7 linked regions of the Macaca mulatta genome follow. The protein of the gene in region 7 interacts with the protein of the main gene of each other region in a pairwise test. Links are inferred from orthologs where the notes say so. Each region holds a gene or a part of one and is shown on either strand. Other genes may lie near its edges. The genes, in order: TBC1D22B, ZBTB25, VIM, RAD23B, CCNC, ZMYND19 and PNMA5.

Region 1 (4,293 bases), on a different chromosome or scaffold from region 7:
AGGTATGTAGTTTCTTTTCGGGATGATGAAAATGTTTTGAAATTAGTGGCGATAGTTGCACAAAACCATCTGTACTATAAATGAATATACTAAATACCACTGAAATGTACACTTTAAAAGAATGAATTTCATGGTATATTAATATCTCAATAAAGCTGTTATTTTTAAAAAGAATGTTTCATTCATTTGTAACTTGTTATTTTATGTAATAAAATTTTTATTTGTTGTCACTAAGGTTGTTGGATCATGATCAGACAGAAAGAATCTTGTCATCGCTTTGATTTTTCACCTTTCAATTTGCAATGAAGAGTAAAGCAGTTTCATTTCCAAGTTGCCATGCGTCTAGTACAGTCATTTGTGTCATTTCCCCACCCAGGAGAAAGTTTTTCTTCCCTAAGACCGAAAGAGTACAGATGCAAAAGTTCTATTCTTGACAAAATGCTCTAATATTTTCTTTAAATCAAAGTACCTTTCTATCTAAAAGAACCTTAGTTTTCTCCCACGACCAGAGGCTTGTGGGCTTTACTGCTAAAAGCACACAGCTGAAAAATATTTCTCTTTACCAAGTAAGGTACTAAAAATTATTATGAATTGTGACAATATTTGAATACCTTAAAACAAACAAGGAAGACAATGAGCTGGGGTAAGGATCTGAGTAACATTCTTTTAAATGTTTACTTGCTCTAATAATGACAGTAATATTAATAACTACTGTCTTCTGAGCAACTATAATGTGCTAAATAAACACTGTCCTAGGTTCTTTACAAATAGGGTATTTCACTTAGTCCCCACAGTAACTCTGAGGAAGGTATTTTTATTTCTCATTTCATAGATAAGGAAACTGAGGCCTAGATAGATTATTTGTCTTGGTCACACACACAGGAGAGCCCAAATAGTAACCCAAGTCTTTCTGAACTCAAAAGTTCTCTATTTCTCTATATTCTTCGAAATGAAAAGGGAATCCAGAAGCTTGAAGAAACTGAAAAGACTTCTCTTCCTATCTCAGAAAAGTAGTGCTTTAAAAAAGTTGACTGTTCTTAGAGTCAAATACAGGAAATACAGGAAAAAAAGATTGTTAATAGCAACCACCAGTCAGAAGGCACAGAAGCCCATGCCATGTCCCACATCTCTTGCACTGCTTCCTGATACAACTGTCTTCCTATTGATTCTGATTATAATCTTAGGATGTCAAAATTTAATGATCTCACTATGGAAAACCCCGGAGAATAGCAGTTAGCACAACTAGAGAGCTCACTAAACCAGGAAGGAAAAGGAATCAGTTGGCAGGAAGTGGTGCTTACCTAAAAACACAGAACATCTTTAACAGTTATATCAACACCGCAAGTCCGCAGCACTTTAATCTGATGTTATCTTTCTATTATTTAATAAGTATTACTAAAAGCTGATTTCCACCTATTTTCCATATGTCTACTAGGATCCTTAATAAAACAAGACTCTTGGTGGGGCATGGTGGCTAACGCCCACAATCCCAACACTTTGGGAGGCCAAGGCAAGAGGATCACTTGAGGCGAGGAGTTACAGACCAGCCCAAACATAGTCAGACCTTATTTCTATTTCATTGGGGGGGGGGAAAAAAAAAAGTAAGGCTCTAACTCAGCCACTATTGACCCTCATCTCCCTCTTGCTTAAAAAAAAAAAAAAAAAAAAAAGTCACGAGTTCAAAAGATCATCCCAGAAAGAAAAAACCTGAATCCATTAGAAAAGGTAGCACGTGGGGCACAACCAAACATGAATTTCATCACCAAGTAGACTGTGGCTGGCAGAAATCTTAGATTCACGACTGAAATACACACTCTTCCTTATACTTCTCAGGACTTTGCCCAAAATAAACTGAAACAGTAAACCAACAGTAGACTGATGAATGGATAATTTGCCAAAAGTCTCAACATACACCACAAAGAGGGTGGGAGTAGTCTTAGGAGGTCTGCTCTCCAGCTAAACAACTGAAGAATGAAAGAATTTAGTGCATTTGCACAAGAAGTGCATTACAATACAGGGGAGGAAGAAGTCACTTGGGGTTGGACAAATCCTTAGAAAATGCCAAAGGAATAACCTGATTCTGTGGTCGCCTTGTAATAATTCCCAGTGGGAAAGGCCAACTCAAGATAAAGTAAGGTCGGAGTTGAGAATTGTCCTCACTTTTCCTGCCTAACCCTCTCGGCAGGCGACCCCAAACTCCCACAAGAACCCTTCGGGTAAGTGCCGAGCTGGGGGAGCAAGCCATCCTCGAGCGACCAACCACCTGTGCGTGGTGGAGACCCCTGAGAGGGAGTCCTAATTAGAGTGGGAAGCAGCTCTGGGGAGGAACCCCCGAGACCAGGGCCGACACTGACTACTCACCCAACTCCACTCCCCTTTACGCCCAATCTTCGGCCACCTTCTCGCTGAGGTCACCCCTCCAGAAACCTCCGCCCCCAGACCCCGGTCTACACCCACATCCAGCCGTCCCCAAAGCTCGCTGTTCGCTCCTCTGCCTGACAGCTGCCCCAAACCAGTCTTCCGGCCTCGGTGGCGCCCCAGGGCCGCGGGATTTAGGGATTAGGATCTGGAAGGGTTTGGTCCAATACCCTCTCCCTCTCAGCGTCCTGGGCTCACCTCCCCGGCAGCTTAGCGCTCCTCTTCCAAAACTGCTTGCTGTTGTCAGCGGCCATTGCTCTGGCAGGGGGAAGGCCTTGTAGGCGGGCCAAGGGGTTGCCTGGCGAGATGCCCCCAGACCCCGCAATCTGAGGGCCAACCCAGGCCGCTTCCCCGCCGCCGGTCACCCGCTCCCAGCTCCTAGGGACGCCATCTTGGATGTGGGCACCCCTCCACCCAGCACCGCTGCCATTGGTGGGCTGCGCAAGCCGTGGACGGGCCGACCAATCGGGAGCCGGAATCCTGCAGGCCGCTGAAGCCAACGGGTAACGTCAGGGTCTGGGCACACAGGTGGACGGGGAAGGCGGAGCTTGGACGAGCAGAGAGGTGGGGCTCAAAGTTCCTAACCCGCAAGAGGGAAGAAGCAGGTAAAGTAAGGGACCTATGGGAAGGAAGAGAGGGGATTATCTTCTTCGTGAGGAATGAAGTTCCTGAGTCTAATATTTTTTGGCAAGAGAGAGCATACTATGTATTTATATATAGGAATATTTGACCTAAAAGTAAAGGCCCATGTGTTTGTTGTGGCCCATTTTTAACATCTCTCAACTCAATGACACTCTGGTTATTACCCTCCCTTCCTCGTTCCGTTTAGATGTCCATTCGTTTTTCTGAAGGTCAGCAGGGACCCGATAGCCCGGGATTGCTAACTGCTCAACACGTGAGCAACGGTTCATCAGAGTCTCCCTCTCCCTCTGTTTATTGAAAACGATTGAAGGACTTGTGCTGTGGGTGAAAAATTCAAATGATCTAATCCCTATGTCAATCCATAACTCTCACTTTCTGACTATGCTAACGGTGTATAGGAAATGGTTTATCATAGCTGTCCAACTCAGATTACCAAATACGATTTCTTTGAAGGACACAGTATAGCTCCATCGTGTGAATCACAAAGTTAAGGATGTATCTCCTCCCGGCCCCACCAACATCCTTAATTTCCCTTGTTAATCTGTTATAAATCTTGCACCCTTGAATTTATTTTCAATCTAATTTTCCCAGACAATGAGATTTAATATTAGCATTTTGAATCCTTTGAATGTCTTGTCGGTGTTTTTTGCTGTTTTTGAGTTTCTGTGGTTGTATTCCGTGGTGATTTGGGGAGAGAGGGAAAGCGGGCACCAGTCCAGAGTGGTTTTTGTCCCATCGAAGGACTGTTGAGGTGGGCTGCGTGTCCCCCACTCCCCCGCCACCCTCCATTTACAGCTACCACATGTACTTCCACATATTGGAGAATACATAAAGACCCGACCCCCGACGGGTATGTCCTCCAACGACGGTTTCTACATTACTCCCATTTTCAAGCTTCTTTTGTCCCCTAATTTTAGAATTATAGGATTGGATGATGAGGGCTATTTTTACTTCTTCTGAATCTTTCATGCTTTTATACACTTTCATCTTATTTTCTTCATGGGCATTTAACCCAGGAAAAAAAGAAAGAAAAAGTCCCTGTATTCTTTTAATCATTTTACCTGCCATTCTCTGGCACTTCTTTTTCTTAGGATGCAGTGACCAGCACTGCACACTAAGCCCAAAGAGGGATGTACTGAGGCTTTGTTAAGGTTGATGTTTTGTCTTTATTCTGAACAGCCAGAACTTTTGCTGGCTGTTTGGGCTTTAGAAGAGTTGATGTCTTGAAGGAGT
Region 2 (4,163 bases), on a different chromosome or scaffold from region 7:
GCCTGGGTGACAGAGGTAGACTCTGTCTAAAATAAATAAATAAATAAACTAGAAGTATAAATAAATTTAATAAATAATCCTGAAACTGGTGTTTGCTTCAAACACTTTCTTCTTCCTCCTCTATCCCTAAGCAGGTTCAAATAGCAGTATCTTTCCTTTCTTAAGGAGAATACTGCTATTCTGGTTATTTTCAAAACCTATTATTATAATAAATACTATATGCAAGGCCTTGTGCTAAGTGCTGTATATACATTATCTCTTAAAATCCTCACTGTGATGACTAATGTATTATTTTCATTTCCATTTTACAAATGAGGAAAAATCCTATGCTTAGGACACACAATCAACAAATGGTATAAAGCGGAGATAAAAAGCCAGGTCTGTCTCCATAGCCTGTGCTAATAAACTAGAGCAGTATTTTCTCAGCTTTCTCTCCTTAAAAGACTGAAGTTCACATGCTATTTGGAATAAATATGCAGAAAAGGGGCACAGGAAGTGGTGTAGAAAGAAGCACTTTATAACTTATCAAGATAAGAGCACCTGCACTGCTTGTTTAAAACAAGGAAAAACCCTGCAATAACATAAAACCCCCAACTCTTTTCTGGCCCTGTTATTGCTAAAACGGACAAGTTGGTCAGGCACCACCTACGGACCATAGTAAATAAATCACTTTGGTTCAGTGGTGGGGAGGGCATTATGCAACACTTCCCAGCACAGCCCTGGCCAGGATATTTTACGGCCAAGGCACTTGGGCCCCTCCTCCCCAGCTAGACAGCCTGGCTCCTTCACATTCCCCTCAGGAGATAGGGTGGAAGCTCACAGCTCCATTTTGTAAGGCATAGAGGGCAGCTGAAAGTCCTGCTTGGCCTCTCTGGGCAACCACAGGCGCCAATAAATCAGCCACAGGCGATTCTCTCATTCCCTTCCTGGCTGAAGCAGGAGCAAGACATAATGCAAAAGAGCACTGATTGGACTTGAGAGATAAGCGATCTAGGCTTAAATTCTACTGCAAATGACTATATCACCACAGCCCAGGTAATGGCCTGTTTCCTCAGGCTTGTAACATGAAGACAGTACCATCTCCTTTTTGGTAAAGATACAAAGTTCATTTATGAAAGCAGCTAGTATGATACTTCGCCCACTGCAAGTATTCAGTAAACAGCGGCCAACTTGAGCAGAATCCATCTCTAATACATGCAAATAAGACATTCAAGGTAGGACTGGACAAAAAAGGTGTAGCAGGTTATGTGGGTTCCTCTCTGCTTTCTTCCTGACCATACCTTGATATTTCATTGATTGCCAGCTCTCAGAACTAATCTATTCCATGTCCTATCCCATCAGTGTTCTGTTCCCTGTTAAGGAGCTGATGTCCGATAACGGATTCATGATTTGCCCTTAACTAAAATATATGAAGATTGTTAAAGAAGACTTTGATGCCTTAACATAAGGAAGCAACCAATGCTGCAAATAATGGTTATTCTTGAAGAGAACAGCAATGAAATTTTCAGGGGTGGCTGAGGGGTGAAGGCTTTTAGTTCCAAAAATACACCATAGCTGGCCTACCTCACTAGAAATACTATCAAACCCACACAGTGGCCATGCCTGATTTCTCCATAATCTGAATCAAGCCAAGTATAATGACCTCCGCCGGATACATTCTCTACAGGTGAGTGGGGTAAACTGGCACTGCGGTCCTGGCATAGTGGAGAGTGCAATCACCAAGGTGTCTGGAGCCTTGGAGTCTTAGCTATCAAGAGGTGTAGCTAGCTCCAGTTACATCACGCTCTTTAGGCCTGGTGTCTTCTCTGTGATGATCAACAGATTTTCTGTAAGGCACCGCTCAGCTCTAAAACGTGAGATTCCAAAGTGTACTCTACACACTTGATAGTCTTGTGAGAGGATCAATAGCTCTGCCAGACGAACTTGAGTTTCAAGAGAAAGAATGCCAAATTTAATCCCTTGGGGGAGACCCGGGCGCTGACTGTTGAAAACATGCTAGGTGCTGTCAAGTTCCAGGTACTACGCTGTGCTATGCGCTGCCTCCGCAACTGATAACACCTGATTACTCCAAATAATGAGTGCCAGAGAAGGCGGTGATGGGTCAAGCTTCAAAAAGAAAAACTGGATTTGCTTAGAACAAGATAAACATTTGAAGACAGAAAATAAATTATGAGGGCGCGGGGAAAGTCTTCTTGCCCTAGAAACTAGGTAATCACAAGCTGGGAGTGGAAACACTAGCCGCAGCGTCCTCGCAGCATATGGAAAGTCGCCCGCTCCTAAGAGCGGTGGGCGCCAAGCGGGGGAGGCCGCAGGCCTATTGGGGTTTCCTGCTAGGGGTCGCACCCGGACCCGCAGCACGGACGGCTCCGCACCTTCAAGGCACCCCGTGTGCCACCCTGAATCAGGCCCCGGCGGCCGCTCCTAGCAGCAGCAAAGGGTGGTTCTGGGTATTGTTGGCCCAGCGCTCACTCGCGGATGTATTTTCCTCCTGTGCCCTGCCTGACATCTCAATGGGACCAAAAACACCCCTCTCCCCAGCTACTTGCATCTGTCCCGCGACCGGTGCAGCTGCAGGCCGCCGCCCTGGGCGGCTCGCGGCGGGAGGGACTGAGACCGGGGCAGCCCACAAGGGCTGGGCCGCGTCGCTTACCCAGATGCCGCCGCGGCGGCAAGCCGACTCCTCCGTGCAGGAGGGGCGGGCTCCCAAGCCGCGCACAGCAAGCGGTGGAGCCGGCTCACGCACCCCGCGGCTGGCTCTCGCGCGGCTTCCCGCGCCGGCAGCCCGCGATGGCCCCACGTGACCGCGTGTCTGGTAGCAGGGGAACGAGGGGCGCCAAGGCCAGGGTGTGCGTGCGTGCGTGCGTGCGTACGTGCGCGCCCTCCCGCCCGCAGCCGGGCGGGGGTCGGCCCGCGCTCTGAGCGCTGCCGCTACAGTTCGCAGTCGTGACTCTGTAGGCGGAAGCACAGGGACGAGCCTGAGCGTCACAGGCTCCCCACAAACAACCGCGTGACCCGGGGACTTTCCCCAGGGTGTGCAAAAGCACAGGCACCCCCTCAGTTCTGGGGTGAAGGTGGGGGTGGGGAAGGATGCGCCCGCGTGTTCGCTGGGGAAGGGATGAGGGCGCGGGGCCAGGGAGGCCGAGCCGCGGGAGCCTGGGTGGAGAGGCGGACTGGGCGAGGTGGGGCATGGCGAGGGAAGTGACTCAGGGCCAGAGGCGGACAGGCCCACGGAAGGTGGGGTGGGGGGAGCGCGGGGACTAGGCGACCCTGAACCGACCGGACAGAGCGAGGTTTCCGAAGCACTCGAGGCGGACCGCGAGGGACGGCCCAGCTGCTGGGCCCAACGGGGCAGGGGTCTGACATCTGGACAGAGTGGGAAAACAGCCGCGCATACTGCCCTGGGGAGTCGGGAGGAGCCCAGTCACATCCAGCTGTGCAAACAGGAGGAGGAGGAGGTCCCAAGCCTACCCTTGAGAGAGGGGCGAGAGGGGTGGTCAAGCCGCCGCTGCCGCGACAGCCCCCGCGGTGCGGGTTGCGCCAGCCTCCTCGGAGCCCGACGCAGAAACTTGTTGCAACAAACAGGCGACCGCGGGTGCCCCTAGCAGCCAGCGGCAGAGTGGGTGGGCGGGCGAGAGGGAGGGGAAGGCTGGCGGACGCCGCAGCGAACTGGTGGGCAGACCCGGAGTCGCCGCGTAAGCGGGGCCGGCTCAGTGCGGTGCGGCAGGCGCGGCTGTGCGGCAGCGGAAGTCCTTTGTTGCAGCACAGTCCCTGGCAGAGCCAGAGCCTCTCCGCGCAGCCCAACCCGAGCGCCGAGCGCCGAGCGCCGCCGCCACTGCAGCTCGCGGCCCCTTCGCCTCCGCCCGCCTTTGCCGTGGCTGATTTGCCTTAAACTCCCTAAAATCTCCGCAGCTCTGGTTCCTGCTGCGGCCGGTAAGTATTTGCCAGTTGTGGGGCTATTTGCGCAACTTTCGCCCGGGCCGGAGGGCGACGGGCCGCGGGCCTGGCGGAGTGCGGGGCCGGAGCGGCGCCGACCCGTGCGGGGAGCCGGAGCGCGGCGGACGCGTTGCAAGGACCCGGTGACGGGCGGCTGCCAGGCCGCCTGCTTGTTGCCGGCGCGTCAGGTCCCGGGCGTGCGGCCTCCCTGAGTCGGAGGCAAAGCCCTT
Region 3 (2,942 bases), on a different chromosome or scaffold from region 7:
CCCAGCTGTTCCCAGAAACATTTACAGACCTTCTGCAATAATTTCCATTAGTGGCAAATGGCGACCACTATAATTTTTGGTGGAGAATACAAGTACCAAGTCCTTCATATGAGAAGCAATGATATATGCAAGCTAAAACCTTCAAGAGCTCCATCAAGTCCATTTTGAGTCTGTCTTGATAATTCATTTTCTTTGCATTAAGGTATAAATTTTTACTCACTTAGCATTTTGTTCAGGTTATCACCATGAGCTTAGTCAACAGAATGAGTCGTTATTTTCCCTCTTTTACTGCAGGGTTGGTACTCACGGTTCCTTTAAGGGCATCCACTTCACAGGTGAGGGATTGCACCTGTCTCCGGTATTCATTGGACTCCTGCTTTGCCTGGCGTAGGGCGTCATTGTTCCGGTTGGCAGCCTCGGAGAGGTCAGCAAACTGTTAGGAAGAAAACAGAAATGTAGATTGCTCACATTCAAGTCTTTTGATTCTCTTAGAAAAAAAATCGTATTTCTCACTGAATGTCTTCCAGTATAGGTTTAAATTTCTGTTTTGAAAGTCAGGGAAAGAGCAGTGGAGTACTGACATTAATATTTTCAAAGTTCACTCTACTATGCTCATTTCAACACAGTGGACGTCAAAGGTATGGCATTGGGGTTTACTTGGAGGCAAGGTTAGGGAAAAGGGAGTCTGCTATTCTGAACGAGGTGATGTGGCCAGGTGTGGTGGCTCACACCTGTAATCCCAACATTTTGGGAGGCTAAGGCGGGTGGATCACCTGAGGTCAGAAGTTTGAGAGCAGCCTGATCAACATGGTGAAACCCCATCTCTACTAAAAAGACAAAAATTAGCCAGACATGGTGGTGCTTGCCTGTGGTCCCAGCTACTTAGGAGGCTGAGACAGGAGAACCACTTGAACTTGGGAGGCGGAGGCTGCCGTGTGCCAAGATGATGCCACTGCGCTTCAGCCTGGGCAGTAGAGCAAGACTCTGTCTCATAAATATACATATATATATATAAAGGAGGTGATGTGAGTGGTGGGAAGGCCGTGGCGACAAACACAATGTGAGCAAGAAGTCAAAGCCAGCTTTGCATTGGAGCTAGAGGATATTTAGGAATCGCACACAGGTATGGGGTATTGAGAACACAATGCTTTTCTTTTGTTCAAGCCACACTGATTTGTTTCCTACCTTGGACTTGTACCATTCTTCTGCCTCCTGCAGGTTCTTGGCAGCCACACTTTCATATTGCTGACGTACGTCACGCAGGGCAGCCGTGAGGTCAGGCTTGGAAACATCCACATCGATCTGGACATGCTGTTCCTGAATCTGAGCCTGCAGCTCCTGGATTTCCTGCAAAAAGAACAGACAGACGGTCAGCTGTGCCAGCCGTGGGGGCTGCCTTACCCTCATTCATTCCCCAAAAGTCACTCCACTAACCTCTTCATGGAGTTTCTTCAAAAAGGCAATCTCTTCTTGCAAAGATTCCACTTTGCGTTCAAGGTCAAGACGTGCCAGAGACGCATTGTCAACATCCTATTTTGAACAGAGAAAAGACAGGACATGGAGGATGTAAAAGTCTATGGCTTATCTCATTTATTTGTCTTAGATTAACCATCTGAACCTAGTCTCCTTACTATAGAAAAGGTGTTGACACATTTTATGACCCTTGAATAGGTTTATAAATCATTCAGTGCTATAATATGCTGTGCTTTCTCCTGCTCACTAATATATTTTAATTGTGACCCCTTGTGTTTTACTCAAGGTGGTGATCGGACAATTTTAAAATAAATAAACGTCCACACACATGGTAAACTGCACTCAATCATGACTGAATCCACATTTTACCAGTGACATTTTAAAATTACTTTTTAAGGCTGGTCATGGTGGCTCTTGCTTGTAATTCCAGCACTTTGGGAGGCCGAGGCGGGTGGATCACTTGAGGTCAGGAGTTTGAGACCAGCCTAGCCAACATGGCGAAACCCCATCTCTACTGAAAATACAAAAATTAGCTGGGTGGGTGGCACACACCTGTAGTCCCAGCTACTTGAGAGGTTGAGGCAGGATAATTTCTTCAACCCTAGGAGGCAGAGGTTGTAGTGAGCTGACATAGCGCCACTGCACTCCAGCCTGGGCAACAGAGTGACACTCTGTCTCAAAAAAGAAAGTAATTCCTTTAATTTAATTACCTTTTAAATCTAGAAAATCTATGCCACAACATTGTTAAGATTTGTTTTGTAATTTCATGGAATAACATGATGATAGAGGTGGACATATTTTCATAACTTCATGTACACTTGAGTACATGGAGAACAGAAACTTGTGCTTCAAGAGTTTTAGCTTTTTTTCCCCACTCAAATCTTTTGAAACTTATCCTTAGGCTCCAAAGCAAATATGCAATCATGTGGCATCCATTGTACAAGGCTAGATTTATATTCAATAATAACCCAATTCAGGATATGCTGCCAAAGATTCAGTTCAGGAAAAATTGGAAAAGAAATGTAACTCTGAACTGTATTTTCTCTGCTTTCTCTGATGGATTTTTCTTCTAAAACTCCTTTGACTCATCCTACAAAGGCGTGTCTTTTTCGCTTGCCACTGTATCCGTTCAGTTGGCCTGTTTCAGAATGACTGGTCAAACTTGCAGAGAATGAAACTACATGAAGGATTTTTGCTGATTCAGCTGTCCTTCTATGTTTCCATTTGTAAAGCTCAACATTCCAATTCAGAACATGTAATCTTGCAACTAAGATTTTATTTCCTCTCAAAAGGATGCGTGAGGATTGTTTATCTTGTCAGCAATTATATTTGGAGTTCAGTTTATAGCCTTATGGTCTTAAACTGTTGAGACTTTTCTATCACCTTAGTGGAAAAATGAATGAAGAGTGGGTGATAAAAAGATCAGACTTGATGAAAACATTCATTTTTACTTGCTAAGCCCTAAGAAA
Region 4 (3,576 bases), on a different chromosome or scaffold from region 7:
GATGACATGACCTTGTATATGGAAAATCCTAATGAACACATGCACAAACTACTTAATGAATAAATAAGAGTTCAAGAAGGTTTTAAGATAAAAGATCAATAAACACAATTAAATTGTCTTTTTATATAGTTAACAATGAACAATCTGAAAATGAAATTAAGAGAAAAATCCATTTATAATAGCATCAAGAAGAATAAAAATACCTAGGAATAATTTTTTAAAAAGTAGTGCACAACTTCTACACTGAAAACTACAGAACACTACTGAAAGAAATTATAGAAAAATCTTATTATTAATATGGCAATACTCCACAAATTTCATCTATAGAATAAAACAATCCCTATCAAGATCCCAACCAGAATTTTTTTTTTTTTTTGCAGGAATCAGACAAGCTGATGCTAAAATTTGTGCAAGAATGTAAAAGATCCAGAACAGCCAAAACAATCTTGGGAAACAATAATAAAATGGGAACAATTAACACTTCCCAATTTCAAAACTTACTTAGAAAGCCATACTAATATGCACTTTATCTGATTTCCACGTCAAAACACTTAGTAAGATAAGACAGGGCAAGTATTATGATTACTATGATTCCCTGTTTATTGTAAAAATGAGGGAGAAAAAGAATAACTAATCACGATATAAAAACTAGGTTACTGGAATCAGGATAGCAGATTTCTGATGTTTAATATAGATAAAAAATAAATACAAATAAAAACCCGAAAAAAATCTAGAATTGGGTATTTACTTCTAAGACTTTTTCTTCTTGAATTTTAACACAGCAATAAAATTATACCTTTACTGCTTGTCCTTTGGCTTCACAGAAGACAAGATGGCGGAACAGGGTTAAGAGGAGACTATCTTTACCGCAATCCATAGGGCAATGCTCTATTTGGCTCTGTCCATCAGAACTATCTCCAGTAAATGAAAATGTTCTACATTGGTTCTATCCAATAGTAGCCACTAACCCCATGTGACTTCTGAGCACTTGAAATGGGGCTAGTGTGACTAAGGAATTTTTTAGAGTCTCACTCTGTTGCCCAGGCTGGAGTGCAGTGGCGCAATCTTGGCTCACTGCAACCTCTGCCTCCCAGGTTCAAGCAATTCTCTTGCCTCAGTCTCACAAGTAGCTGAGATTACAGGTGCGTGCCACCACTCCCAGCTAATTTTTGTATTTTTAGTAGAGATGAGGTTTCACCATGTTGGCCAGGCTGGTCTTGAACTCCTGACCTCAGGTGATCCGCCCACCTTGGCCTCCCGAAGTGCTGGGATTACAGGAGTGAGCCCAGCCAAGAACTAACTTTTTTAAAGTTTTAAACTCACCCTTTCTATAGCTTCTTTTTCCTGAGGCGTTACTTGAATGTAGTTCATATGACCACTTCCAGCTTCTGCAATTCCTCCACTGCCACCTCCACCTCCTCCTCCTTGACCACCAGCTTCTTGAACTGGTTCATTTAACATCTGAATAAAATGCTCCTGGTGTTGGCTAATTTGCTGTGGTGACATGAATGACAGAGAAAAATAATACATTGATATTAAGCATCTACAGGAACAGAGGAATTCTAAATATTACTAAGAGAAAAGGCTACACTTTTGCAAACGTAGTATTTTAGGGATTCTGGATTATTCAGTCTTTGGAAGGATGTGATTTCTTGTACATTAGTAAAGAAATGCAGTACTTTTGGGCAAAGTAAACAGTGAAGAAATTCAAATTCTTAAGGCTCTGAGCCTCCTGTGCTAAAAAACAAACAAGCAAACTACTGTGGCACTGTAAGAACAGAACTTATTCTTTATACTTGCATATACTTTTACCTTCCACACTAGTGGGCACTAAAATGCTGTATAAAATTCAAAATACTTGGTGATCTGAGCATTAAAGAAGCCCCACACCTATTTTTTCTAAGAGTAAGTTGTTCCTATTGCTTAGAAGTTCCTAAGAAAAAGGAACTAAGAAATAAGCTTGTGAAAAGTGATTTAAAGTTAGGCAGTTTCTTTGTTAAACAGCTTCCCAAATTCTTTAACATATTAATGTCTACTGGGAATCTCCAAGAAGGAAATATAAAATGTTTCCCAAACTTATTATTATTTGGTCAACTTAATTTAACCCAACCTCTATATCCCAACTGTTATTTGAGTACACCTATCCAGATTACAATATTTTACTAAGTGTAGCTTGGAAGAATACATTCACCATTCTCAAATACAGAGTTGTATTTGAGGCGGGGAAGGACCGTTCATGGACTTTTTCAAAATGTGATACACTCTAACCTACTTGTGAAACTGACACTGATTAGTCACCTGAAGTAACTGAGGATTCTCTCGACCTATCTGCTGTAGTAATGCTGGAAGCAGGGAAGGATTCTGTTGAATAATTTGTCTCATCTGTTGAAACTGAGGTTGATTCCGTAAAAATTCAAGGGGATGTCCTAAAATACACATAAACGTTTTTAAACAAAAGCAGTAAATACATATACAAAGAGTGGTTAAACAATACATTTACACAGCAAACACTATCAAGTAAAAAATGATTTCTCAGATGTAATAAATGAAGTAAATAATGATGAAATCTTCCGACCATATCAACTTGCAAGTTTTATACGGCAAAAATTACTCCTATTAGCAAATGCAGGGAGTGCAGAACGCTGACTGTAACATGAACCAAACTTGCCTATAATCGCCCTTGGCACTCAATGTTATAAAATAATCCTAGATACTTGTCCGCTACGCGTGTTCTATCAAAATAAAAAGTGCTAAAAGTTATTCCTGTTGCTTAAAAGTTCCTAAGAAAAATATACACCACAACTAACAAAAACAAAAACTCACTACTTTATAAGCTGTATGGCAATCTAGTACTAATATACCTAAACTCTTCAGTCTAAAATCCATTCACAATAATAAATGTTAGTAATGCCAAATAAAATATAAAATACAGAACTTGTGGCTTTTTCAGGGTGCTGGTACTTCTCTGGTATGCTATAGGAAACCAAAAATCGTACATAAAGGAATTATGTTTTTGAGATTACTAATGAAGAAAAGAGAATTTTTAGATGTATGTTGTAATTTCCTATTCAGGAAGACAATCATTCAAGCTGAAATGACCATAGCACATGGGTTTTTTATTCTTCCACATATAATACTAGCTTTATAGGTGAAGGCAATGAGACTTAGAGACTATGTTACCTAATAAGTGCTGAAAGGAACAGAACCCCAAATCCAAAGCAGAGCTGTGGCCATCTCTTTCCACTCCCATGCTGAATCACAACAAACAAAAGGCCTGTCCTCTGGAGACTGTACACAAAGCACTGAGTGACCTCTGTCAACCAGAGGTGACTATCATAATCAGAGCTAGGAAATGCATAAAAGAATGGCCTTTTCAAGATCAACAGTTTATATTACTTTATTAATACACAGAAGAACGAACGAAGGAGAACACTGCGTAAATCCTAAGCCGACCGCAGGTTCCAGGTTCTGCTCTGTAGTCAGACCTATAGCAATGTGTGGGTATGGTCAGTACCCCAGTAAGGAGACTTCAATTCAAGCTCTGCTTTCTCCTCTAGATACAAGGTTTGAAACCTC
Region 5 (4,101 bases), on a different chromosome or scaffold from region 7:
ATTTGGTAATAATTCATTTACAATGTTTGCATCAGTATTCAAAAGTGAGACTGTTTTTAGTGTTCCCTTTACTAGATTTTTCTGTAAGTGTTATCATGGCTTTGTAAAGGAAAGCTTTTCTTCTTTCTGTATGAAATGGAACAATTTCAAAAGGAGATTCTCTTGAAAGATGTATTTACCCATGAAATAAGGCATAGTTCTTGGGTAATACTCTTAACTTGCTTTGGCTTTCAAATTTAAAACCCTGGAGATAACCCAAAAGTACCCTTGGGTTTACTTTTCTCATTCCTAATTTTGTATTTTTGTATCATTCCTTTCTCCCCTGATTTAACTAGCAGTAGTTTCGTCTACTGTTTTTGTTTACTCTAAGAATGATCTTTTATAATTTTTTTCCTTTTAATATATTAGCATCAGCGTTATCTATTTTAAGATCTTCTTCCTGTTTCTTTAGGCTTATTTCATGTTTCCTTCTTAGTATTATTAAATAGAATATTTCTATTATCTCTCAATTATTCAGGATATTGATTTTCTAATACATTCAAGCTTTGGTTACATTCCATATATGGTAATATTATGATGTTATTTTATAGATATTAAGTAACTGTATTTTCAGTTTCCTTTTTCACACAATAAAGTATCCACAGTTAGTTTTGTAGTTTCTATTTTTGTTACTCCTTCATTAATGCATTCAATCAACCCAGCAAATACTTAGTCCCCTTCTAGTTCATTTTGGTCACAGACTGTGTTTTGTTCTACTTCAACTACATTGTGGTTTGCTAATTAATTTCATCCCCACAGAGTCATTTTATGTTTTTAAAAAGATAAATTTCATAAATTTCACAAACATTTTATGAATTTTCCTCAGAGCTGTGTATGCAGGATAAACTAAAAAAATTTATAAATACTGCATTTCATCAAATTTAAGATTACATCTTGGATTCATCATTATTTCATATGCTATGAAAGAAACTGCCATGCTCATTTCAAAGATGTTAAAGTGTGAAAATATGCATCTTAGAAGCATGAAATATAGCATATTTAATGTCAATTGCCCTCTTTCACCAAATTCAGCTAAAACAATGGCCTTTCAAAATCTTTTGTTTGTTTTTCCAGAATTGTCTTGTCTTCCATACTTGTTACCTTTTCCAGATAAGAAACTCTATGACTGCTCAAGGGATCTGAGCAAGGCAAAGTGATCCCTTCTTTTAGGAGTATTTGAATTGGGAGAATAGTTTCAAAGAAGTACACTTAACTTTGTAATAATTTTATATTTGAAAAGTGAAAAAATGTTTTTATAACGCTATGAATAAATGAAAGCATAATGAGAACACCATTGAAAAAAGGTAGGAGCTTTTTTTTAAGTTGAAAAACTGACAAATCACCAGTCAGCTACTTGTCAATTCTCTCGGCTTCTTTCAAAGTTTATCAGAATCTCTCTTCTCCACTACCTAAATTTTTTTTTCAGGAGCTCTAACTCCAATACCTAAACTTTCGATACTTTAATTCTGCCCAAGCAATATTTCAGTGTGTGAAAACAATGCAACATATATATAATACACACACACACATATATATACACACACATACACATATGATCAGTTGCCTGCCTCTTTAACATGTCATCTCCACAGAATCACTTTATAGCAAGAGGAAAACCTGCTTTTCCTTAAATAGGTTACCGAGTTCATTGTTTCTTTTTTCTCCTTGCAAAGGGCTAAAAAATGAACATCAGGAACAGATCCTATTCACAGAATCGAAATTTAAATTACTTACTAATGCTTTCTTAGCATAAAAAATTATACTAAGATACCTTCTTTGTCAAGTTCTGTTCATCTTTCAACTATACAGTGGAAAGCCTACTCAATGTTCAATTAACCCCATCACGCACCTTCCTGCCTGCTTAAACAAATGTATTTAGAGATAAATGTTTTTAATATTATTCTAGCTCTCACATAGTCACTGACAGAAACAAGAACTTATTCATGAAAAAGGTTAAAGAAATAGAGAAACAAAATCACTGGAAAAATACGCCTTTAAAACAAAATATAAGGCACAGGCTAATGAAATGGATAAGTTTACAGGGCACCTGCCCTATACCTTATCAATATAAAACTCCATCTAGACATAAAGTACTGGCAAGAAGAGGTTAGTAGGCAGAAACAAGCCAGACTTTCTCCTCTCCTCAGAATATTAAATCCACTCAAGATATACAGTGAATGACAAAAGACCACGACGCCAATCACCCGAAGAAATCCCAAGCAAAAGCACGCCACAACTGTCCTGAACAGGTAGCCTCACAGTCTTGAGCTGAGTCACACTTCCCGTACCTGTGCCCACTCTATCCGACCCCCTGCGGCCTAGTTAAACTAAAAATCCGAAATTAAACTCTGAAACGTTTCTTCCTGGGAGACTAAACTCTCTCCCACCCCTCCCCCTCACAGATCCTTCCCTCCCCGAAACGGGCTGGGGGCGGGGAGGGGAGTCGCCTCAGAAAAGAGCATCTTGCTTCTGGCCGCTGCCGTCTCCCTTGAGGACCCCGGCACTCGGAACTGAGCCGGGATCCAGGCCCAAGGGAGTCGCAGGCCCCTTCCTCACAGCCCCCCAAAAACCGGCCCCAGGTGAGAAGACGTAAGATCACTTACTAGTGGGAGCTCTGCCAAAAGTTCCCTGCCATGGAACACAGCTTGCCCTGATAAAAAAGCACCAGCCGGCGGAGCGGCCCGCGGAGCGACCATAGACCCAGCCCGTCCGGTAACCGCGCTCCTCGATCAAATCAGCTCGGCTCGACTCCGCTCCGCGGCGGCGACGGCGAAAGGAAGAGGATGGCCCCCTAGTCTCCTTCACGCCGGCCGACAACACTCAACTGTGCAAACCCGTTCCTATCGACAAAAGTTCCGGCCCGCGGTAGCGGAGGGAGCCGGCGGGGAGGTGCTGACCTGTGGGGGCGCTGAGATAGAAGAGAACTAGTGCTCACGAGAGCTCACGGCGGTTGGAAGACTCTCGCGAGAGCGTCTTGCCTGTTCTGGCCGGGGGCCCACGGCGCTCGGTCTCCTGTCCTCAGCACTGGAGTTGCTGAGTAGGGGTCTAACCTGGGCGAAGTGGCTGAGTTCCGGGGTTCTGTTATTACCTCTTCCAGGACTTCAAAAACAGAACAATGGCATTGTAATAAAATAAAAGATTTTGTGACTTATTTTACCTGTGATTGGAAAGAGAAATAAATGAAGATGACTTTGTTCTCACGGATCAAGTTTTTTTTGTTGTTGTTTTTGTTTTTTGTTTTTTTTACCTTGCTCTGTCGTCCAGGCTGGAGTGCAGTGGCGCGATCCCGGCTCACTGCAAGCTCCGCCTCCAGGAGTTCGAGCGATTCTCCTGCCTCAGCCTCCTTCCCGAGTAGCTGGGACTACAGGCACGCACCACCACGCCCGGCTAATTTTTGTATTTTTAGTAGAGATAGGGTTTCACCATGTTGGCCAGGATAGTCTCAAACTCCTGACCTCGTGATCCGCCCGCCTCGACCTCCCAAAGTGCTGGGATTACAGGCGTGAGCTACCGCGCACGGCCTATTTTTTACTTTTGAGACAGAGTCTGGGTCTGTCACCCAGGATGGAGTGCAGTGGCACAATCTTGGCTCACAGCAACCTCTACCTTTCGAGTTCAAGTGATTCTGCTGCCTCAGCCTCCCCGGTAGCTGGGATTACGGGGATTACAGGCGCGTGCCACCACGTCCATCTAATCTTTGTATTTTTAGTGGAGAGGGGATTTCGCCAGGCTGGTCTGGAACTCCTGACCTCAGGTGATCCATTCGTCTCAGCCTCCCAAAATGCTGGAATTAACAGGCGTGTGAGCTACCAGGCCCGGCCTGGATCAAGCGATTTCTTTCTTTTTTTTTTTTCTTTCTTTTTTTTTCTTTTTTCTTTTCTTTTTTTTTTTTTTTGAGACAGACTCTTGCTCTGTCACCCAGGCTGGAGTGCGGTGGCGCTATCTAGGCTTACTGCAACCTCTGCCTCCCAGGTTCAAGAGATTCTCCTGCCTCAGCCTCCCAAGTAGCTGGGACTACAGTCGCGCACCACCACGCCCAGCTAATTTTTGTATTTTTAGTAG
Region 6 (4,338 bases), on a different chromosome or scaffold from region 7:
TCAGTGGGGCAGGGGGCTCCAGGCGCCCTGTGCCATCGGAGCTCACCCAGGAGCCCAGTGGCAGGGGGCAGAGGCAGCTTGGAAACACCCACCACAGCAGTTCATGAAGGAGTCTCCCAGAGCCCCTTCCTCGGTTCTTGTCAAAGGCATAGGCAAATATCTTAGCACCATTTCCATCTGCATCCACTTCCATTCGGGCCTGAGAAGGAACAAGGGAAAGAGCTGTTAAAAAGCCTCCAATTCTCAGCAACACTTCAATTCCCTCTTAGAAAAACCAAGTGAAACAAGCAAGCCAGAGGGACAAATGCCAGCCCTGTCCCTGAGACCCTGGGGAGTGCAGAGCCTCCCATAGGCACATGGCTCCCAGGGGCCAGCGTGGCCCACCACCACTCTGTCTATCCAGGCAAGAAACACTCACAAACAACTCTGCAAAATACAATGGACATAGACAAATACATTTTCCTACCCTTGAAAAAAGCCCACAGTGCAGTGAGATAGAGAAACCCCTGGACAAGTCACTACTGTGAATGTGTGGGGCACAGAGATAAAGTGTGGTGAGGGAGGCCAAGCTCAGTGGCAGGAACGGAAGCTGGGAAGAGGCAGGAAGACCCCATGAGAGCAGAGAACGGGAGGCAGCTGGGCAGCCAGGAGGGGCTAGCGCAGGCTCAGCAGGTGGCAAGCTCTAAGGAACAAGGTCTTCGAGCTAACAGACATGGTCCACGTGACACAATCGCAAACGTGAGAACATTCCATTTGCTTTCAAGAAGAGCTAACAGCTGAGGTGAAAGTGAGGAAAGACCAGTGTCGCCAAGCCGCGTGGGCCACAGTGGGAGCAACAGCCAGGTTCTGCGGGGCCACGGCTCCATGTGGGGCTGAGGGCTCAGGGCTCACAGCCAGCCCCAGATGTCCACTTGTGGGGCCACCTGCTCTTGCAGCACAGGGGAGGGCTCGCTCCTCGTGACCCTCCTGGGCACTGACCACAAGCATTAAGGGAGGGAACAGGCATCCTTACTTACCTCAAAGGAGTAGCTTTCCACCAGCGGGATGTCCTGTTCATCGATCAGCGTGTATTTGGTCTGAAAGTTAACCACATGTTTCAAATCATTACATTTGAGATCTGCGTGAGGTGCAGTAACCTTATAACCAGAACAGGCAGGAGCCTGTTGCATTTTCCTGTGAAGTGGAAAGTAACCACAGGCGTCTTCAGACCAAGACAGCTCAGCACACGGGGGCCTCATTCCACCATCTGGGGTGGTGCAGTCTACGCCAAAACACAGGCAGACTGGTTAAAAGACAGCAGACCACTTTCATCTGCTCCAGAGGAGCTGGTATCAGGCCTCATCCTCGCAGGCCTAACTCCAACAGTGGCACGGAACATTTAACACACCAATAAACCTAGGCAGAAACGGTTTCACTGAGCTGAGGGAGGGTCCAAGGCTGAGGCAGAAGAGCCAGAAGGTTATGATTAGGGTGTGTTTATTAAGCTGAGCTGCTCATTGAATTGCCCTTTTCAGTTTTTTGTCCATCTGAAATGTTCCAAAGAAAAGCTGTAAGGGATGACAATGTCATCGGTGGTGGAATCAGAAGGGGTCTCAGGTCTCTGACCTGACTGGGGAGCCCACCCTTCCCTGGTGGAAAAAAGCCTCCTCCCCAGCAGGCCCTGCCTATGCTCTTGCAGCAGGGGCAGGAAACAGGAACAGGTCCCAGAACGGGCCAGTCTCCCTCTTGGCAGTTTTTCTTCTGGGATCTGAAGCTGTTTTACCTGACGCCGCCTGACACTGCCTCCGCTCCTCTCTCCCACCAGAAGCTGCAGCCGCTGGTGACGGCAACAGGGCTCCCATCCGGGTAAGGACCCCGGCTGGTGCAGCTGCACAGGTGGCTCCGAGAAACCGCCAAGCCTCAGTGCCCACAGGTGCCATGGAATCCCCAGCCTCAAACGTGCAGCGTGGGGGCCAGGTAAGAAGAGAAATCGAGGAAGGCCCTGAGTCTGCATCAGGGCCCAGGCTTCTTCCTCTCTGCTCTGAGCCCGAGGCTCAGCCTAACCTGGCCAACCCCTGGCAGCGTTAAAACGAGCCCGAAGCCCTGCTGAGAACTGGGAGGCAGAGAAGAGCCCACACCAGACCCGCCTCGGCGAGAGGTGTGGAGGTGGCGCTGCCTCGGAAAGGGCGCTGTGTTTAAACCGTGTGGCCGCACCGGCAGCCCGGACGCCGCGCTAGGCCCCGGCTCCCCGACACCACGGGGAGGGCTCCGGGAGAACGCGGCCGGGCTCGAGCCACGCATCTCCGCGCCCGGCTCGGGACAGGGCCGTGGCCTCCGCCTCCGGCAGGGCAGGGCCGAGGGCGGCCAGGTGCGCCCCGCCGCCGAGGGGTGCGCGCCCGCCGGCCTGCGAGAGGAAGCTGCACCCGCGCGGGGCCAGCAGCCGGGCCCGCGCAGCGTCCCCCGCCCCGCTGGGGCCCATCCCGGGCTCCGCGCCCCCGCCCCGGCCGCCGCCCGCACAACCGCCCCCGGCCCCGGCCCCCGGCCCCGCGCGGAGGCCAGGACGGGCGAGACGGGCCGGGCCGCGGGCTCCGCGCCGCTCACCTTCCCGGCCACCCGGCCGAGCCGCACGATACCCAATTTGAAGTCGGTCATGGCCGGGCCTGCGCTCTCGGCCGGCAGCGCCGCTCCCTCGGGAGGCGCCGGGCGGGGGCCGGGGCGAGGCCGCGGCGCGCCGGGGCAGGACGGGACCGGAGCCGGGGTCGGGGTAGCAGCCAGGCGGGCCCCGGGCGGGACGAGGCTGGGCCGGGCTCGGGCCTCCGCCGCCGCCTCGCGCCCGCCGGACCTGCCACGCGCCGCCGCCGCTGCCGCCGCCACCGCGCGCACCACAGCGAGCGGAGCGGAGGGGCGGGGCGCAGCCCGGGACACACCCCCCGGCCCGCCGCCGCTCGGCCAATCGCTAGGCGCGCACGGCGCCGGCCGGAGCGCGCCGCGCCGCAGCAACCAATGGGAGGAGGGCGAGTGCGCCGGCGCTCTGGGGAGCGGGGCGAGCGCGGGGGAGGGGCGAGGTCGGGGGCGGTGCCTGCGCGCGCCGACGTCAGTTTCGCGGGAAGCTTTGTGCGGGCCGCCGCGCTGCTCCTGGAGGCGCCGTGCGGAGCGCGGCTGGGGACTCGCGCCGGGTCTGTGGCGCTCTGCGAGCTGGACGCCCTTCTCCTCCCTTGCAGTGGCCCTCGTAAGCTGCTTCCCGCCGCCGTCCTGGCCCCAAGCGCGGAAGGAGGAGGCGGACGGAGCGCGTGTGGGGCCCGCTGGGTGGGCGGGGAGCGGGCGAGGCGGGCTAGGAAGAGGCCGTTGCCGCGGGACGCGGGTGCTCCTGGAGAGACCGCGGACGCCCGGCCCACGCGACCCGGAGGGCGCGGCCTCCCCCGCAGCCTTTTCCGAGCCGCCGGTTCCTCAGCCCCGGGGGCGGCTGACCGCCGGAGCAGCCTGGTCCAGGGCGTCTGGAAACGGAACTCCAGTGAGGCCGGTTGGGCTCCGCGGGAATGCCGAGGCCCGCTCAGGGAGGGACTGGGTACGCCGTGGTGGGCAGCGTGGCCTCCCCTGCAGCCTGGAGCGAACGGGGCTAGGTCCTGTGTCCTGCTCCGCCGGTGTCCGGTCGCCCGCGGGGAGGCCTCACCCTGCCGCAAGGGGCGACTCTGCCACCTGAGGAGCTGCCCGGGCCCCTTTCTGGCTTGCTGCGTTCTGTTTTCTTTTCTTTTTTTTTTTTTTTTTGAGACAGTTTTGCTCTGTCACCCAGGCTAGAGTGCAGTGGTACGTCCCCGGCTCACTGCAGCCTCTGCCTCTCGGGTTCAAGCGATTCTCCTGGCTCAGCCCCCAGGTAGCTGGGATTACAGGCACGCGCCACCATGTCTGGCTAATTTTTGTGTTTTTAGTAGAGACGAGGTTTTGCCATGTTGGCCAGGCTGGTCTCGAGGTGATCTGCCCACGTCTGCCTCCCAAAGTGCTGAGATTACAGGTGTGAGCCACCGTGCCCCAGCCTGCAAAGGGTGTTCATGAGTGAGCCCAGACGTTCCATCTCTGGGTCCCCTGGTACTTACCAGTACCCCAGACACCCTAGAGGAGAGAAGGGGATAATGAGTCCTGGCCTGCCTGAGACACACATTGGGATTCAGGCTGGGCCTTGCTCAAAACATACCTGTCCGGCCGGGCGCAGTGGCTCACACCTGTAATCCCAGCACTTTGGGAGGCTGAGGCGGGCGGATCACGAAGTCAGGAGATCGAGACCATCCTAGCTAGTATGGCGAAACCCCGTCTGTACTAAAAATAGAAAAAATTAGTCAGGCGTCCGCCTGTAGTCCCAGCTGC
Region 7 (4,337 bases):
AAACATCCCCAAGAGAACAAGCAGCTGCTGGCCGAGATCTACACCGGCAAAGCAGAGGTGGAGTTCTTGACACGGAACAGCAGTGAGCAGAGCCTGGGCCTGGTGATGACGCAAACCAAAAACAACTACCCACCCCCAACAAGTCCTCTCTTCTCACACTTCTTCCTCCTCCTTCCCCTCTTCCTCCTTCTCCTCCCCCTCTTCCTCCTCCTTTTCTTCCTGCCCCTCCTTATTCTCCTATTCCTCCTCCTGATCATCCTCTTCTTAATTCTCCTCCTCTTTCTCTTCCTCACTGGTGCAGGGGGTCATGAATGCTGCCTTCCTGGGGCTCCCCTCATGCAGTGTAAATGATCCTAAAGACGGGCTGGACCCTGCAGCCTCCCCTGCCGGGCTTCACTTCTCCCCCACAGCTCTTCCTCAGCAGCCCTGGCTCCTTCTGGCAGAGGCAGGCCCCAGGCAGGCTCCTCCAGGTCCCACATGGCCTGGGTGCCAGTGGGCATTCTCAGCTCAAAGTTCACAGGGTGGATATTTGGGGGTGTCCAGATGACCAGGCCAGAGCCCCCAGCCACACCGTCTTCAGCCCCTGCTTTGTTGGGGTCCCCATCTGAAGCCCAGCCACCCCCTGTGCTAAGTGTAGCTGTTCCCTGCTTGTGTCTCCTATACCTGTTAGGGGCCATGGGCCTGGCCCCCACTGAACCAGATGCTATTTGGTCTAGGTTGGTGAAGTCCCTTCCAGCTGGTGGAAAGTAAAGGGGCTTGATCTTGACCTGGCTTCCCTGTCCCTCTGCCCCAATCAAGTTCCCTGTTAGTGTAAGCTGCCCTTTGTTCAAATGTCCCTGCTGCCTGCCAGGGGAAGGAGTGCTTGGGTCTTCTGAGCCTATGTTTCCCAGGGCTTGGGATGGCTCATGGCCCCAGCCCCTGCCTCGTTTCCCGACTCCTCTCCTGCAGCCTGTGGCCCCTCCCTGCCTGGAGTCTGGTTTTCAGCCTTGGGATACATGGCCTGGCCATAGTCTTCTTCCCTAGTGCTTTCACTGCACGACAGCCGCCTGCGTTTCACTAATGGGGGTAAGCCTCCCTGTACAGTCTGGGTGCTGCTGTCGCTCAAAGACCTTGCCTGCACGGTGGCCTGAGGTGCAGAGGCACTGGCTTCTGCTCTTGCCTGTCTACCAGAGGCCCCCCGGCCTCTCCCTGATGGCTTCTCCTTATTCTTCATCACTGCCTCAGTGTTCTCCCACTCTTCTTCATCTCGAATAAGCTTCATTAACTCCAGAAAATTGGGAGGACACCCTCGCTGATCCAAGAGCTCCAGCTTGCCTCTGAGGGCGGGGGTCATGGAGACCCGAGCTAAGAGATGTTTCAGACGAATCATGTCTGCGCTGCGCACTGACAAGGGGCTCTTCTGCACTGCTTTCTGCAGCAGGGGCTCTAAGCGCAGCAGGAAAGTGGAGACTTTCTCTCCAATCTTCGGAAAGGTCTGCAGAAACTTAAACTGAGAGGCTCTGAAGTCCTCTTTATCCCCAAAGATCTGCTTTAAGGCGTCAAGGCACTGCTCCACAGTTATGGAGTCATTGTTGGCCTGGAGCACCCGCATGATTGACAGAGCAGGCCCTCGTAAGCTCTCCAGCAGACGCCGTCTCTTCTCCATCTCAGACACTTGCCATATGGGCATTATCTCAGTGACCTGCTCCAGCCAGTCTTCAAAGGTCTCTTCACCTGGGCTAGCGGAAGCAGTTCCCGAAAACACTTTCAGTTTCCGGTACCACATACTTTCTTTCAGAGGCTCTAAAGGTGGGGGTCTAACTTGGGGTACGACCTCTGCATCCAGGCTCTCGGCAGGGAGGCTGCAACATCCCAGGGCTCTGGCCACATCTGTCATACTTCGGCCCTCATCTTTCAGGAAGTAGTTCAGTCTAATGAGAAACTCGTCATCTGGGTTACGGGGTTTTACCACCACTTCCCAGGAGCCCCCCTTTCCTGGTATGTGACTAGGCAGAGTAGTGTAATCGACAGTGTCAGCCAATTCAATGAAGACTGCCTTGGCGTTGTCTTCCCTCCTGAACATTCTCCCTAGCACCCTGTATGCGCGCAGGGGCTGTAAGCCTGCCTGCACAGTGTCCTGAATTTCCACCTCACTACACTCCACGGGGATGCCTATGATCAGCAGGGCCTTTCTGGGGTCCATGTCCATCCCCTTGCACCAATCCTCTAGCAGTGTCAATGCCATTGCTCCCACTTTCTATGGACTGATCTAATACTAGGGCAGCAATCAGCTTAGTTTGACAGCACTCAAATAACTCTGAGCCACTGCCACGTAGGAAGGTAGAAGTGGTCCCAGGTTTCCACAGCCTGCAAAGCAAATGGGATGAGAGCATTGTTAATGCCTACCCCAACCTATACCCCCAAGCACCCCTCCTCTGCCCCCACCCCCGAGCAGGGATGGAGTCCCTTCTTCCCAGGGTTCCCCAAGTTATTTTGGGGAGGGTAGAGGGTGGAGGTTCTCCCCAGGCAAAGATCTCCTCATCTCACCACTCCCTGCTGACCTCCTCCTGCTGTGGGTTCCTCCTCGAAGTCCAGAGGACTCTGCTGTGTGTGCTTCGGGTATCTGTAGTGAAAAGGCCAAAGTCAGGAGGCAGGGCCTGACATCTGGGGACACTGACAAGCTCTCCAGGCAGAAGAGGGCAGGAGACGGCCTCACTGCTCACTCAGGGCTATGTGGGCTCAGGTCACCCAGCACCCTCCTTGCTGGAGTGAAGGCTGGCAGCAGGAGAGGTAGAATGGCCCTCTTTCTCAGGAACGCCTGACAGATGAGAAAGATGGCCGAGCTCTGCGCAATGCAATGAGAGTGGTGGGTGTGGAGATTGTGTGACAAGCTGCAGTGTTGCCATGGATACAGAGAATACCATGGACCATGGGTTGCTATTGCAGGGGAGTGTCATGTGGTAAGGCTAAGGTCCTTGAGAAGCAACAGGTGATGTCATTGGCCTCCAACCAATAAAGCTTCCCAGCAAAAAGGAGGGTGGGAGAGGGAAGGCGAGGTGGGCTTGAGGAGTGAGTGCTGAAAGGACAGGAGCTCATGGTTTCAATTGTGTGGAAGCTGAAATCAGGTAGAAAAGGGACCCTGATGAGGTCCCCACTGCCAGACTGCAGGAAACCAACAACTCTTGCCCTAGAGATGGCCCTACCCTGCAGAGTCTGTGAACGCTGGCAGGCAGTCCCCTCTCCACACTCTTTGCAGGGGTTCCAGAGACCCTCCCAACAGGGCCCACCTCACAGCTGCTCACCTTTCTGGGTTGGCCCTGCTGGCAGCGCAGATGCTGCAATAACACAGTCACTTCAGAGTCGCTCTGCTCTTCAACTCTATCCAATTAGGCAGTTCCTGACTCAGGCGTGATGGTTCCTGCTTCCCTGGATCTGTCCAAGGCAAAGCACAGGTATTTTGCTGTGATTCTGTCCCACACACATGTCCCTGCTCAGGCCATGCCAATTCAGATTCTGCATAGGTGTCCACTAGGACCCTGGTGCAGGGGTAGAAGAAACTGCACAACTGGCAGAGGGAAGAGGAGGGGGGAAAGGGGGGAGGGGTGGGGGGGAAGGAGGAGTGGGGGGAAGAATGGCGAGAGGGGTGGGAGGTGAGGAGGGAGGTGGGGGGCGGGGGGGCTGCTGCTAGGGCAGAAGGGATCCTAAGGTAAGGTTGCGGCCCCACCCCCACTGCAAACTTCATTCCCTCCCAAGCCCCACCCCTGCAGCCATGTTGCACCCCTTCCTAAGCCCCACCTCAAAACTTGCACGCCTGCTGCCAAACTCTGCCTACAACTAAGTTGCACCTCTACCCCAAGCCTAGCCCCCCACCAAGTCCAACTCCTTCCACCACCCAAGTCTAACTCCCGCCTCAAGCCCTGCCCTCACCCACAGTCCAACTCCTACCCCAAGCCCTGCCCCCTCACCAAGTCCAACTCCTACCTCCATGCAAGTCTAACTGATGTCCCCAAACCCCCACCTCCATTTCCCTGTTCCCCCAATCCCCACCCTGTTATTTACATACACCCACACCACCGACACCAGTGGAAGCAGGCAGAATCTAGGAGGGGAAGGTTCGAAGCCACTTTCCCTCAAGGGCAAGGGCCAAGAGCTACTGTCCTGACTGCAGTGTCTCCGGGCAGGGTCGAGGGTGGAATACGTCTCCCTGAAGTTTTTTTTTCTTTTTTTTGAAACGGAGTCTCACTCTGTCACCCAGGCTGGAGTGCAGTAGGGTATGATCTCAGCTCACTGCAACCTCCGCCTCCTGGGTTCAAGCGATTCTCCGACCTCAGCCTCCTGAGTAGCCGGGATTACAGGCG

What was found.
Region 1: the proteins of PNMA5 (region 7) and TBC1D22B interact in binary tests that used the Homo sapiens proteins (3 or more experiments, as listed by UniProt). The link is inferred for Macaca mulatta from reciprocal best matches to the Homo sapiens genes PNMA5 and TBC1D22B.
Region 2: the proteins of PNMA5 (region 7) and ZBTB25 interact in binary tests that used the Homo sapiens proteins (3 or more experiments, as listed by UniProt). The two-hybrid records come from large-scale screens. The link is inferred for Macaca mulatta from reciprocal best matches to the Homo sapiens genes PNMA5 and ZBTB25.
Region 3: the proteins of PNMA5 (region 7) and VIM interact in binary tests that used the Homo sapiens proteins (3 or more experiments, as listed by UniProt). The link is inferred for Macaca mulatta from reciprocal best matches to the Homo sapiens genes PNMA5 and VIM.
Region 4: the proteins of PNMA5 (region 7) and RAD23B interact in binary tests that used the Homo sapiens proteins (3 or more experiments, as listed by UniProt). The two-hybrid records come from large-scale screens. The link is inferred for Macaca mulatta from reciprocal best matches to the Homo sapiens genes PNMA5 and RAD23B.
Region 5: the proteins of PNMA5 (region 7) and CCNC interact in binary tests that used the Homo sapiens proteins (3 or more experiments, as listed by UniProt). The two-hybrid records come from large-scale screens. The link is inferred for Macaca mulatta from reciprocal best matches to the Homo sapiens genes PNMA5 and CCNC.
Region 6: the proteins of PNMA5 (region 7) and ZMYND19 interact in binary tests that used the Homo sapiens proteins (3 or more experiments, as listed by UniProt). The two-hybrid records come from large-scale screens. The link is inferred for Macaca mulatta from reciprocal best matches to the Homo sapiens genes PNMA5 and ZMYND19.

What each region holds. Positions count from the first base shown.
Region 1 is NC_133409.1:144,981,069-144,985,361, forward strand, and holds the start of TBC1D22B (TBC1 domain family member 22B), read right to left. Parts: upstream 2,819-4,293; 5' UTR 2,673-2,818; coding exon 2,617-2,672; intron 1-2,616. UniProt on the Homo sapiens protein: May act as a GTPase-activating protein for Rab family protein(s).
Region 2 is NC_133412.1:137,601,732-137,605,894, forward strand, and holds the start of ZBTB25 (zinc finger and BTB domain-containing protein 25), read right to left. Parts: upstream 2,830-4,163; 5' UTR 2,651-2,829; intron 2,649-2,650; exon of another isoform or gene 1,702-2,648; coding exon of another isoform or gene 1,643-1,701; exon of another isoform or gene 1,564-1,642; intron 1-1,563. UniProt on the Homo sapiens protein: May be involved in transcriptional regulation.
Region 3 is NC_133414.1:18,791,336-18,794,277, reverse strand, and holds part of VIM (vimentin), read right to left. Parts: intron 1,531-2,942; coding exon 1,435-1,530; intron 1,348-1,434; coding exon 1,186-1,347; intron 434-1,185; coding exon 308-433; intron 1-307. UniProt on the Homo sapiens protein: Vimentins are class-III intermediate filaments found in various non-epithelial cells, especially mesenchymal cells. Vimentin is attached to the nucleus, endoplasmic reticulum, and mitochondria, either laterally or terminally.
Region 4 is NC_133420.1:51,067,550-51,071,125, forward strand, and holds part of RAD23B (UV excision repair protein RAD23 homolog B), read right to left. Parts: intron 2,427-3,576; coding exon 2,299-2,426; intron 1,495-2,298; coding exon 1,324-1,494; intron 1-1,323. UniProt on the Homo sapiens protein: Multiubiquitin chain receptor involved in modulation of proteasomal degradation. Binds to polyubiquitin chains.
Region 5 is NC_133409.1:86,296,617-86,300,717, reverse strand, and holds the start of CCNC (cyclin-C), read right to left. Parts: upstream 2,808-4,101; 5' UTR 2,675-2,807; coding exon 2,643-2,674; intron 1-2,642. UniProt on the Homo sapiens protein: Component of the Mediator complex, a coactivator involved in regulated gene transcription of nearly all RNA polymerase II-dependent genes.
Region 6 is NC_133420.1:4,862,155-4,866,492, reverse strand, and holds the start of ZMYND19 (zinc finger MYND domain-containing protein 19), read right to left. Parts: upstream 2,864-4,338; 5' UTR 2,632-2,863; coding exon 2,581-2,631; intron 1,077-2,580; coding exon 1,017-1,076; intron 200-1,016; coding exon 93-199; intron 1-92. UniProt on the Homo sapiens protein: May be involved as a regulatory molecule in GPR24/MCH-R1 signaling.
Region 7 is NC_133426.1:159,265,413-159,269,749, forward strand, and holds the start of PNMA5 (paraneoplastic antigen-like protein 5), read right to left. Parts: upstream 2,834-4,337; 5' UTR 2,703-2,833; exon of another isoform or gene 2,603-2,702; 5' UTR 2,541-2,602; exon of another isoform or gene 2,527-2,540; intron 2,347-2,526; 5' UTR 2,225-2,346; coding exon 878-2,224; 3' UTR 1-877.